3 linked regions of the Callithrix jacchus genome follow. The protein of the gene in region 3 purifies or fractionates together with the protein of the main gene of each other region. This does not show direct contact. Links are inferred from orthologs where the notes say so. Each region holds a gene or a part of one and is shown on either strand. Other genes may lie near its edges.

Region 1 (3,940 bases), on a different chromosome or scaffold from region 3:
CAGGTAAGTACTCAGTAATAATGACAAATATTTATTCAACAAATAAGTGATCAATTGGTTGCAAAGCTTGTGTTGTTTCTTCTATCATACTACCGTGATGCTGTGCTACCCTCAGCACAAAAAAACACACCAGGCATGGCCAGTTCAAGCAAAACTGAGCTCCTATCTAGAAAAAGTTTCAGAGAAAACACTGACGTCGGAAAGTTTCAATAAATATTTTAATATCTCAGTTTAAAAGGAAATGGCAGCAAGTACAGAGATCTACCATCTTCTGGTAGAATCACAAAAGGCCTTCCTAGGGAAGTTATATCATAGAAATGTGGGACTTAATCTACAAATAGGAATGGGTGAGAGATCCAGAAGGAACTGTGTGAGCAGAGTAGAAAGATCTCATGGGAGAGACGGAGAGAATCACGGGAAAGGAGGCTACAGAAGTAAGAAGTGGCCAGACTGCAGAAATGTATTACAAACGCGGTAAACACTAGTATTTTGCCCTAAGAGCAGCAGGCAGAGATTGAAGAATTTTAACCAAGGGAGCAATATAATCATGTTTGTGTGTTTAAATGGACAGCTCTGCTGCAGAGCAAAGAACAGACTGGATTGGGACAAGTCAGGTGCCAAGTAGGCCAGTTTGGAGGTAAGAGAGAAGAGTGGTTCTGGGTTGGAAAACAGTGGGAAATGAGATTTCAGACATGCATAGATTAAGAACTCAAGACCTTTTAGAGGTGATGGTGGAGAGTGCCAGAAGAGAATCTTTATTCTTGAATCAGAAGGCTGCAATTATGGCACTGATCACTTCATAGTTGTGTAAATTCAGACAAGAAATAGAAATCTCCCAGGCTTATTTCTTCAGCGCTCTGGAGAGGCAGTCTGATTAGCAGTTAAGGATGAAGACTCTGTAGTCAAACTGACAAGAGTCCATGTTCCAGATTAACCACGTACCAGGCTTTTAATGCAGTGAAGGCTGGCTTTTTCTCCCCTACCCCGAGACGGGATTTCACTCTTGTTGCCCAGGCTGGTGTGCAACAGCGCGATCTCAGCTCACTGCAACCTCCACCATCCAGGTTCAGACAATTCTCCTGCCTTAGCCTCCCAAGTAGCTTGGATTACAGGCATGCACCACCAAGCCTGGCTAATTTTGTATTTTTTTAGTAGAGATGGGGTTTCACCATGTTGGTCAGGCTGGTCTCGAACTCCTGACCTCAAGAGAGCCGCCCGCCTTGTTCTTCCAAAATGCTAGGATTACAAGTGTGAGCCACCGCACTCGGCCAGTACAATTTTGCCTGATGATGATCCAGCAGCCTATTGCATGCACACATAGACTGAATCTGATGAACTGCTAATTCAACTTCCTTAACTTGTCAAAGTATAAAGAGGTTTTGTTTCGTTTTCCTTGAGACAAGGTCTCACTCTGTCACGCAGGCTGGAGTGCAGTAGCATAGTAATGGCTCACTGCAGCCGTGACCTCTAAGGCTCAAGTGATTCTCCCACCTCAGCCTCCTGAGTTGCTGGGACAAGTGCATGCCATCACATCTGGCTAATTTTTGTATTTTTTGTAGAGATAGGGTTTTGCCATGTGGCCCACGCTGGTCTCCAACTCTTGAGCCCAAGTGTTCCACCCGCCTCGGCCTCCCAAACTGCTGGTATTACAGGCATGAGCCACCACACCTAGCCAAGGAGGTTCTTATTAATCTGACAGATTTACTGATCATGTCACTATTCTGCTTAAACCCTTCAAAAGTTTTGCTCCAAGACAAAGTCCAAGCCCTGTCAGATGTTTATCCAAACTTTTCATAATCAAGACCCTTACTTAACCCCCATCTTTTATCTCTTCTCCTCTATTTTTCTTCACTCGAATACTACTGGATTTACTTTCCTTCCTCAAAAACATCCAATGGTCTTGCCTAAGAGGTTTCAAGTATCCTGTTCTCTCTCCCTGAAATCTCTCCCTTGCTATCTTCTCTGGTCACATGTCTCTACTTCCCTATTCCACGTCAATGCAGAATTTGAGGCTCAGAGAGACTATAACATGTGCCTTATCAGAAAACAAGATATGTCGACAGCCACACTTCATTAGGCAGCTCGCTGTGGGACAGCTGTCCTTAACCTCTGAGAATCTGAGGAAACGTATGGAGCCTTTCCCCCAGAAAACACACAGGCATAATTCTTTAGTAAATACTCAGAACTAAAATTCCCCTGCAACCCCAACTTGAACTCCAAGTTAAAAAGAAAGATGACTAGCCTGGAATTCAGAAGATCTGGTTTTACCACCACAGCCAGCTGTGGTCCCTCATGCAAATGGCCTGAGCTCCCCGGCCCTCAGTGTCCTTTATAAGACTGAAAAGATGCAATACGTCCCCCAAAGTAAGTGCGAGGGCCAGTGCTCTCCACGCACACCTATATTGGAAGAGCTCCACCCCAGCAGCGGCTGACAGCTCTTCCTGGCTTTGCCTTCACTCGCGCACGCGGAGTCCGGCTGTGAAGACTAGCACGCGGGACGCTGTGAGCATGCGCAGAACCCCAGCTCATGCGCAGAACCCCAGCTCATGCGCAGAAACCGCAAGCCCGCCCCCTTGCCGGCCCGAACACTCTGGGCAACGCCCCCTCAAGGCGCCTCTCGGCCGCTGACGCTGCCTGCGTGCCTGGCACTCACCTCTACAGTAGGGATCGGCGCAGCCAGCTGCTCGGGCGTCAGGTTCCCAAACTCCTCCGCCAGCACGTCCATACTGCTCACGAAGGAGACAGAAACAGATAAAACCTCCGCGCACGCCTTCCCTGCCCCAAGCAAACTGCAAGACTCCCGGGGAACGGTGCGCGGAGGCCTAAACTGTCCCCGCCGTGCTTGTTGGCTAGAGACGCAGCAGAAAGGTTCCGCCTGCTCCCAGCTCGAATCTGCGGTGGAACCCGGATGTGACCGAAGCCGAGTCGGGAAACTGCGCCCTCTGGTGTAGCTCGGAGATCTGGCGCGGGTTATTCTAAACCGCAGCTGTCAGATTTCTTGCCAATTCTCTGATGCTTGAGACCAGCAAAACACAGTGGTTGTCATTTAAAAAGTAATCCGAAGAAATGTGTAAACGCATAATTTACGCAACTTGAACTAATAAAAGGTGCCTAATAAAAGGTGATTGGTTAAATAAATGGTACATGAGTGTAATGGAATAGTGTTGAAAATTCTCAGAAGCACTAAATGGAAGATGTACGAGTATATACCAACGCATGGAGAAATTTAGTATGAAAAGATGACATTTACGACGGTAGGGGAAGGATGGCCTGTCTAGTAAATGATGTTTGAAGAGCTGATTACCCATTTGGGGATAAAATACATCTGAGTGAATCCTATGTGGTTTAAATATTGAAATGTTAACAAAAACTTAGACGAAAATGTAAGTGAATATATTCATAACATTGAGATGATGAAGGCTTTCAAGACGGCAACACAGTCAATTCATAGAGGATTTTATATTCTAAACCTGATTTAGTGATTCTATGAACATATTTTTAAAAACGAATAGAATTAACAAAAAACAAATTGGCAGATGACAAAGGGCTGGCCTCTCTAATTTAAAATGAGCTCATACAAATCAATAGAAAGAAAAATCCTGTTAGAAAAAAACGAGACAAAATGCACCATAATTAATGGGTACAGAGTTTCGGTTTGGGAAGATGCAAAAGTTCTATAGATGGATAGTGGTGATGGTTGCACAACGATGTGAATGTATTTAATGCTGCTGATCTGTACATCATTTTAAATGGTTAAATGCTAAGTTTTATGTATATTTTACAGTTATAAGAAAAGTTATGAAAATGTGCAAGTACATATAGGCTTTCCAATTTCTCCCCCATAAAGGTAGAACTCTTGCACCAGGTTAATTGTTCTTATTTCCTAATAAGCTACCTAAATTTCAGTGCTTGTATTTTCTAAACATTGCGCTGATATCTG
Region 2 (4,108 bases), on a different chromosome or scaffold from region 3:
TCGAACTCCCGGGCTCAAGTGATCCACCCACCTTGGCTTCCCAGGCGTGAGCCACCATGCTGAGCTTCACAATTTTTTTTAAAAGGGGCTCTAATTATAACACACGCTTTACGAAAACAGGACTAACTCTGTCTCATCCACAATAGCTATATATCTATCCCCAAGGCCTCGTACATACTAGTGCTCAAAAATATGGAAATATCTTTAAAGAAGTTGACTGCGTGTAAGAAATGTAGGCTCTGTGGCAGGCTAGTATTAGAGGTCAGGTTTGAGTGACTGAAAAGCTGCAAGCCATAACTAATTTCATGAATTCACAGAGTATTTACTAAGTGTCCACTACCTGTCAGGTGTTCCAGGTAACAGAATCATGCTGACCTGCAAGTTGGTATACTGGGTAGACAAGCACTACCAACAGCACAGTAAATGCCAAGGCCAGGAAACACAGGGTGTAATGAAAGCACAAAGTACCCACACTAGGCTGGGGGGCCCAACACATAAGTTTTGATTTAAGAGTATGGCAGGAGTAAGATTGCCCCAGGAAGCAGGGGTAGCATAAACAAGGCCTCAAAGCACAGAGCACTGGCGGATGGTGTATGTGTTTTCTAGAACGGTCATTTCCCCCACATGGAGTTTTCCTTCTCCTTGGCTTTACCTTTTTTCAAATAGGGCTTCTATGTTACCCTAGGCTACACCTACCTAAGGACTGAAAACGTTATCTAGTCATCCCAGTTTCCTCCTGTAACATAATCAAAAGGTCTTACCTTACTAAGATCATGACTAAACATCTATATCCCGAAATTCAAGCAGTAAACTGGTATCCTTCCTGTAAATGCCTCAAAGATGGAACCTGATACCACCTAAAACTCTCATGTAAACCCAGAATTCTTACCATTCTTTCAAATTATTTCCCACCCTTGCCCAGTCTACCAGACACAGCAAATGACATAATTCTTTAAAAGCAAAAATGTTTAGCAACAAGCCAAGTCCCCACCCTATCCTCTTCTTTTCTTAAACCAACCAAAGTCTAACTGGAGTCATGCTTTTTGTCTCTGCCCTTACCCCCACCACCCCAATTACAGACATGGATATATACTCCTTTTAATTCCCATAATCACAGTTCTTGTCTAGGCGTCTAATATTTTCAGTTTCCTCATTTTCCATGCTGGCTTAATTGAAAGAAAAAAAAGGTATCCTCGAGGACCATTTGTTTGCATGGAACACAAACCAGTCAAACTAGTTTAAATAAAAGAGGGAATTTATTAGAAGAATACAGAGGTTCTTGCAGAGATTCCAACAGCTACAAGGGGTCAACAGCTAGAATCATGCCTTTCTGAAGGACAGAGTATGCTTTGATCACAAGCTTCTAATTCTGAGTTCTGCACCATCAGGAAGAGAATATCCTAGAGGACAGTTCTCCTTGTATACTGCATAAGGGACTAGAATGTGGATTCATTTCTGCTTGCTTTTTGTTCCTTATAGTTCTTTATGCTGGCCTCAAACTTGTCAAGCACATGTTGGCAGACATTCATGAGCTCATTCAGGCCTCTCTGAAATGGCTCAACAGCTGGAAGGGCACCTCGAGTCTGAATGCGTAAATTAATTTTGCTCTCTGAAGGATGGGTCGTAGTGTAACCACAAAATTCCACTTCCGGGTTCTTCATGATCATGTAACGCAGAGAATTTCCTAGGGTATGGTCCTCCTCGTGCAATACAAATGTCACACAGTGTCTATCTGTTCCAGCTGCCTGGACCATTTCCAGGGCTGTCTTCCTCTCGCCTTCAGCCATTGAGGTCTTCAATCCAGATATTTTTCTACACACATATTTTTTATAAAAATGAGATCATACTGAATATGGTTTTGTAACTAGCTTTTTTCATTTACTATATCACATTGCAACACGTTATCAATCTACTCCAGCTACACAGAACTATTTGCCTCTCATTTTCCTGCCTCCACAAACTCTATCAATAAATATTTAATTTATTGCCTCCGGTTTTTCCATGCTCCATTTGACCATCCACACTGGCCACAAGGGGAGCTTTCTTAGAAAAACACAAACTTAAGTGTTTGCAAAAATATTCTTTGGTAGAGTCACGAGCAAGGGATAAGATTGGAATAGGATGGGTCCTGCTAGAGGATGAAAATGGGGTTGAAAGGCATAGAAATCCCGATTGCTCCAGTATAAAAATAGAGGATACAGATGATCAATGTGCAGGCCCAAAATGGAATGCAGCTTCCATTTTGCAAGAGAAGGAAACTAGGAGAATGGAAGGTCCAGGAGTCAAGCAGGAGGGAGGATAAGAGCTCAGTACACAGAGGAGTGGCTTTAGGAGCAGTCTGCACAGAGAAGGAAAGTGAGCAGTAGTTACAGGGACACAGGCATCAGTACCGTCCTCAAGGAGGCAGGGGCCCGGGGCGTGATTTTACACGCTGCTGTTCTAATGGGGGTGGGCAGTTCGGGGACTTAACTCTGGTCTCCCAACTTGTCTTCCCTCCTTGATAGCTAGCGTACCTTTCAGCCTCTCATTTAAAACACATTCATGTCTCTTCCCCCTTCTCTCTCCACGCCTCTTCCCTGCGCCCGGAGTCAGGCCGGGGCTGCCAGGCCGGGCCGCGTGCCCCTCGGCCACCCGATCCCCTTGGGCGCGGCCCGCTTCGCCCGCCTACTCCTTGGCCATTACCTCTCCAGTTCCTGGTCCTCTTCCATCGTGGAGGCGGTTTCCGGGTCCTCAGGTGGTGCTAACGTATCGGGGGCTCTGCCCCATAGCTCGAGGCGTGGAGACGAAGCAGGAAGGAAGGACCGACCGACGGAAAGCGCGGAGGACGGAAGGAGAGAGGAGGAGCCGCAGCGGCGCGGCAGGGCCCAACGGCGGGGCGGGGCATGAGGCTCCGCCCCCAATCCCCGCCCCGACTCGGGGTCGGCCGTGGCTCACCGCCCCTTGGCTCACCTGGGCGCCCCAGCGAGGCCACCCGCCGCAGGAGGGGCAGAGGGTGGGGCCAGCGCCGCTTTACCCCGAGGCCCAGACCTGCCTGCGGGAGCCCCGGGTCAGCCCTGGTACCTTTCACCAGGTGATGGCGAAGTAGCGGGGCCTTACCTGACGCCCCCAAATCACTTAACTTCACAGTGGCAAGTCCGAAATAGGCCCGACTCCCCCACTGGGGCCGTGTCGACCCAGGGTGGCCCTTCCCAGGACCTCGGCCCTCCCGGGCCTTTCGTGGGACAACAGGCTTAGGCTCTAGTCGGTCAACACACCTTGGAAAGGGGGTCATGTGCGAGATGAGTCACAACAGAACACTAGGGTTGAAGGCGGTGTTTGACCCTGGAGCTTGCAGCTGCATTCTCAACTGGGTCAAAAAAGGGCAGGAAAGAAATGTCTTTCTCTTTTGAGGGAGCGAGAGTTTGGAAGAAAACTGTTTCCCACCTCATCCTTTCTTCGGTCCTAGAATTCCTTATACCCCCGGGGCGCGTCCTCTCCCGCAGTGGACGTCCTTTTCCCTTTACCCCCCGTGGCTCCTCAAACCTCCTCACCTGCGGAACCCGCCCTCACCTTTGTTCCCAGGTGCCCAGCCCCCGCCTCGGCAACCTTTCACCGCCTGGGCTCGCTCTCCGCCCTGCTCCCTGCGTCCCGGCCCTCGCCGCACTCCCTCAGGTGGGCTTACTCGCGAATCGCCCCTTCTTCTCCCCTGGCCGCCGGCCCCGACCCTGCCCTACTCCAGCTGCCCTGTGGTCTTGCGCACCTATGTTTCTGCTTCCCTGCGCCTCCTGTTCTCCTCCCCCACCCCTCCCCGCGATTCCCCTGGATGTCCACTCCCTCCCCAGCTGTGCCATTCCTGGCGGCTGCCGAGGGTGCGCGCAGGCACCTCGCCAGCGGGGCTTCCGCAGGAGAATCAGGCGGCCGGCGGGGACAGCCAGAGGCGGGTGGGGGAGGCAGGCAGCGAGGGCGGAGTGGTCTCACTCTAACCCGGGAGTGACGGTCCCTCTTCTGGCCCGCCTCCCGAGCTCTCGGATAGGCGGGGCCGCCCTCTGGCCCACCCCCTCCCGCCCTGTGCTGCTTCCGATTGGCCCGGGTGCGGGTTGGGCCGCTTGGCCTTGGCGCTGGCCCCCGG
Region 3 (4,033 bases):
GTGCACTTGATAACTCACCAGGTTATGTTGGACAAGAACACACAGGGCTTTTTTCACCTGGATGGGACATAAAGAGAAGAAAGAGAGGAAAGACCTGAAGATATAGCTCATTACTGCTGGCAGTTTTTTGTCCAACAGCTTACCAAGCATCAGAAAATGGCTAGGTAAGAATCTTTGCACTTATTTCCTCTCTCCATTGGAGTAGCTAATAAGAATCATATATCAATACAAGAAATCAGGAAGATTCCTTGCTATCGTTTCTCTGATCCTTATCCTTCAAAACAAAACACAATTTACTTTCCTTCTATCATTCTCATTCCTTTTTTTTTTTGAGACAGAGTCTCACCCTGTCACCAGGCACCAGGCTGGAGTGCAGTGGCACAATCTCGGCTCACTGCAACCTCCGCCTCCTGGGTTCAGGCAATTCTCCTGCCTCAGCCTCCTGAGTAGCTGGGACTATAGGCACGCGCCACCACATCCAGCTGATTTTTGTATTTTTAGTAGAGATGAGGTTTCGCCATGTTGGCCGGGAATGGTCTTGATCTCTTGACCTCATGATCCGCCCTCCTCGGCCTCCCAAAGTGCTGGGATTAGAGGCTTGAGCCACCGCGCCCGGCCCATTCTCATTCCTTAAAAGCAGTACTGAGGTTAGCAGACTTACTGTGAATAAATGAGGTCTGGCATGGGAAGAGCAAAGATTTGCCTAAGAAGCTGTGATGAACTAGAAACACTCTGAGAAAGAAAATGTTGATGCCTAAGTCCCATCCTTTTCTCCCCCAAATAACATTGTTTGCTCCCAGGGCAGGCTTTTTCATTTTTTCCTTTTCTGGGGTGAGAAGAACAATATTCAAAGGTGAGTGAAATAAATTAGTGAAAGAAATGAGAGAAAATTAATGTCATTTAGACGTACCTGATCCAGCGATGTCCCTGTGTCATGGGCAATTACTCTTAGTGGCTGGCTGCCAGTTCTTATCAGGTGGACTCCAATCTTTTCTACAATCTCTCCAAAATGCTCTTGCAGCAACAAAGAACAGAGCTTAATTTCTGCTTGAGTCATTGTACTGGGGAGTCTGAGGGCTAGGGGAAAAAACACCGGAACAGTACGATGGAAAGTCTTTCTTTCATGCTGGAAGCAGAGCTGCTCACTGTAAATTCATGCGTTCTCTCTGGAGGGCAGTTTGACAACACATATCAAAAAGCCTTAAAAATCTTGCATATCTTTAAAACAGCAATTTCTTTTTGGATACTATGTCCAAGGAAAGAATAAAAAGTTAATCAAGTCGCCAGGCGCAGTGGCTCATGCCTGTAATCCCAGCACTCTGGGAGGCCAAGGCAGGCGGATCACTTGAGGTAAGGAGTTCGAGACCAGCCTGGCCAACATGGTGAAACCCTGTCTCTACTAAAAATACAAAAAATAAAAAATAAAAATAAATAAATAAAATAAAATTAGCTGGGTGTGGTGGCATGTGCCTTTAGTCCCCACTACTCAGGAGGATGAGGCACGAAACAAACCATAATAATAATAAAGTCGGCCGGGCGTGGTGGCTCACACCTGCAATCCAAGCACTTTGGAGGCCAAGGCGGGCAGATCACCTGAGGTCGGGAGTTCAAGACCAGCCTGACCAACATGGTGAAACCCCGTCTTAAAAAAATAAATAAATAAAATAATAATAAAGTCACTAGTTCTCTGTATGATACCGACTTACTGGAAACAATCTAATGTCTAATAGTAAATGATGGCATACTACACCGACATTTAAAGTTATTAAGTACCACATGTATTCGTGCAGAAAATTATTCATAATATATTAAGTGACAGAAGCTGCAAAAAATTAACATTCGATTATTGTAAAAAAAAGGAAAAATGTATGCATAGAGAAAGACTATGCATCAAATTTATCTTTCTGGGACTATGCGTGATTCTGATTTTCTTTAAAGATAGGGAGTAGATTATTTCGCAGTCTGTCACACTTCATTGCTTAGGAGAATTAAGGTCACTGTTCACAGCCCGGTAGGAGTGAGCAGGTAGTGTTCATTCTCAGTGAACATTCTCAGCCCATAAAGGAAATGATAATTTCGAAAAAGAAATTTAGGAGGTAAAGGACTGCTTCTCAACAGGGCGTGTCAAATAGGAGATGAGGTTACATTGTTTTCAGGGCAGTATTCATTCCTGAAACTTGTACTCCTTGACAAAGTTGACACAATCAGAAATTGATGTAGTTGATTATATGATTATTTCGTTATTACAAATTGCTACCAATTCTTAAGAAGCCAAGTCTTTGGCACCCCCGCCTAAGTATCACCAGAGACCTGTTTGATCCATGCACATATCTTTGGAGAAGCATCCCCAGACCCCTTGCCATCCTCGGAAAGGACTTCCAAGGCGCTTGGCTCCTAGCTCTTCACTCCCTTTACATAGGTTCGCCTTCCAGACTCGGTCTCTCGGTCAGAGTCAGCGCCGCCTCGCGCCGACAGCATTTTCCACTAACCTCAGGGTCAGCGCAATCCAGAGGCTCCAAACCCAACGCCTCCGAGCTCCTCGCGGCGGCTTCCTGCGGCTCCCGCTGGCCTTCCGAGCGGAGGTGGAGCCCACCGCCCTTTCTAGGAAGAGGCCGGCCACGGAACACAACGCAGAAAGGCGAAAAGCTCGTGCCGCTCTACCCCCCCCGCCCCGAGTTTCGGCGGCTTCCGGGGACGCTCTTCCTTTCTTCTCGCTGGAAGGCTGGAGGACCCGCGAGGGGCTGCTTGAGGAGCAGGCAGGCGGGCGGGTTGCCGCTCCTTCCGGCTCCTCTTTGGTTCTGGGAGGCGGGCCGCAGGGTCGCCGTCAGCGCCGCCGCCTCTCTGGGTCGGGCCGGCTCACGTGACCGACGCGGGCTCTGAAGCGGTGGGCCGTACCGAGGCGGCGGCGGCGACGGCGACGGCGACTGCAGCTCGAGAGGTAGCGGCCTGGAGAGGGACGGGCCGGCTGCCCTCTCGGACGGCCGCGGCGGAGGACAAAAATGGCGGAGGCCTCGGCGGCCGGGGCGGACTCGGGCGCCGCCGTGGCTGCCCACCGGTTTTTCTGCCACTTTTGCAAGGGCGAGGTCAGCCCCAAACTACCGGTAAGAGCCCCATGCCCTCTGTACTCGGGAACCGCATAGATTCCTGGCCCCGATGTCCCCGAACTAGGTCTGGGGCTTTCCGCACACGCTCGACTCGCCTGGCATCGGTCTGCCGAGTACCTGCTGCCCTGTGTCCGCAGCCGCTGGCCCTAAGCCCCGGGCGTCACGGTCCCGGCGCTGTACCTCCTGCTCACCTCTTCCTCATCCTGGGCTGTTCCACCTGCCCTCACGTCTTTACCACCCCCCCCCATCTTTCTTTTTCTTTAGCAAGTTTTTCTTTGACAACTCTCCCATCAATTTTCTCGCACTCTTTTATACCTCGTCTTTTTCCCACGGTGACCTTCCCCCGTACTCTTTCCTCTGTGTCTTCTCACCTTCCTCTATTTTCACACTTTTAACCGCCCCCCCCCCGACCCCTCTTCTCAGCGAAGCAAAATAGCGGATTGCTGAGGATTGTCCCTATTCGGTTGTCTCTAGGGAAGGAAGCACAGAATGGGGCGGGAAGGGGCATTTTGCTTTTCAGTGGTTTCCAGGGTCGTTGTGAAGGTGAAAACAGCACCCTATTAATGCCTTGCAGACGGCCTGCACTCCTATCACTGATGAAGGAAATGGCTTTAGGAAGAAGGCAGGACGTATTGTTTCAACTTGGTTTATTTTGATTGTCATGCTGCCAGTGTCTTTAATACCATTGTTCTGCTCCCCCCACCTGCCCCGCGTGCCTTGTGTCTTTCTTCACATAAGAAAAAGGTCCCCGACAGAATGTTTTCACGACTTTTTGCCAGACTGTTAGCCCCTTGAGAGGCAGTGCTGTAGCCGTGAAGAAAATACTTTGGTAGGTCAGGCTCAGGTCTGTAATCTCAGTGCTTCGGGAGGTCGAGGCAGGAGGATTGCTTGAGGCCAGGAGTTTCAGACCAGCCTGGGCAACACAATGA

The links. The genes of interacting proteins can lie anywhere in the genome.
Region 1: the proteins of POLR3C (region 3) and POLR3B fractionate together in Homo sapiens (co-fractionation; 4 studies listed by BioGRID and IntAct, with this or other methods). This does not show direct contact. The link is inferred for Callithrix jacchus from reciprocal best matches to the Homo sapiens genes POLR3C and POLR3B.
Region 2: the proteins of POLR3C (region 3) and protein POLR1D purify together in Homo sapiens (affinity purification with mass spectrometry; 3 studies listed by BioGRID and IntAct, with this or other methods). This does not show direct contact. The link is inferred for Callithrix jacchus from reciprocal best matches to the Homo sapiens genes POLR3C and POLR1D.

The regions. Positions count from the first base shown.
Region 1 is NC_133510.1:109,225,036-109,228,975, reverse strand, and holds the start of POLR3B (DNA-directed RNA polymerase III subunit RPC2), read right to left. Parts: upstream 2,801-3,940; 5' UTR 2,726-2,800; coding exon 2,654-2,725; intron 2,488-2,653; exon of another isoform or gene 2,398-2,487; intron 1-2,397. UniProt on the Homo sapiens protein: Catalytic core component of RNA polymerase III (Pol III), a DNA-dependent RNA polymerase which synthesizes small non-coding RNAs using the four ribonucleoside triphosphates as substrates.
Region 2 is NC_133506.1:146,817,298-146,821,405, reverse strand, and holds the start of protein POLR1D, read right to left. Parts: upstream 2,801-4,108; 5' UTR 2,709-2,800; coding exon 2,683-2,708; intron 1,813-2,682; coding exon of another isoform or gene 1,437-1,812; exon of another isoform or gene 1,238-1,436; intron 1-1,237. Other genes in the region: POLR1D (DNA-directed RNA polymerases I and III subunit RPAC2), read right to left, coding at 1,437-1,812, 2,683-2,708; uncharacterized protein LOC144582762, read left to right, coding at 3,373-4,108.
Region 3 is NC_133519.1:8,259,192-8,263,224, reverse strand, and holds the start of POLR3C (DNA-directed RNA polymerase III subunit RPC3), read right to left. Parts: upstream 2,801-4,033; 5' UTR 2,330-2,800; coding exon 2,311-2,329; intron 1,078-2,310; coding exon 911-1,077; intron 58-910; coding exon 1-57. Other genes in the region: E3 ubiquitin-protein ligase RNF115, read left to right, coding at 3,000-3,101. UniProt on the Homo sapiens protein: DNA-dependent RNA polymerase catalyzes the transcription of DNA into RNA using the four ribonucleoside triphosphates as substrates.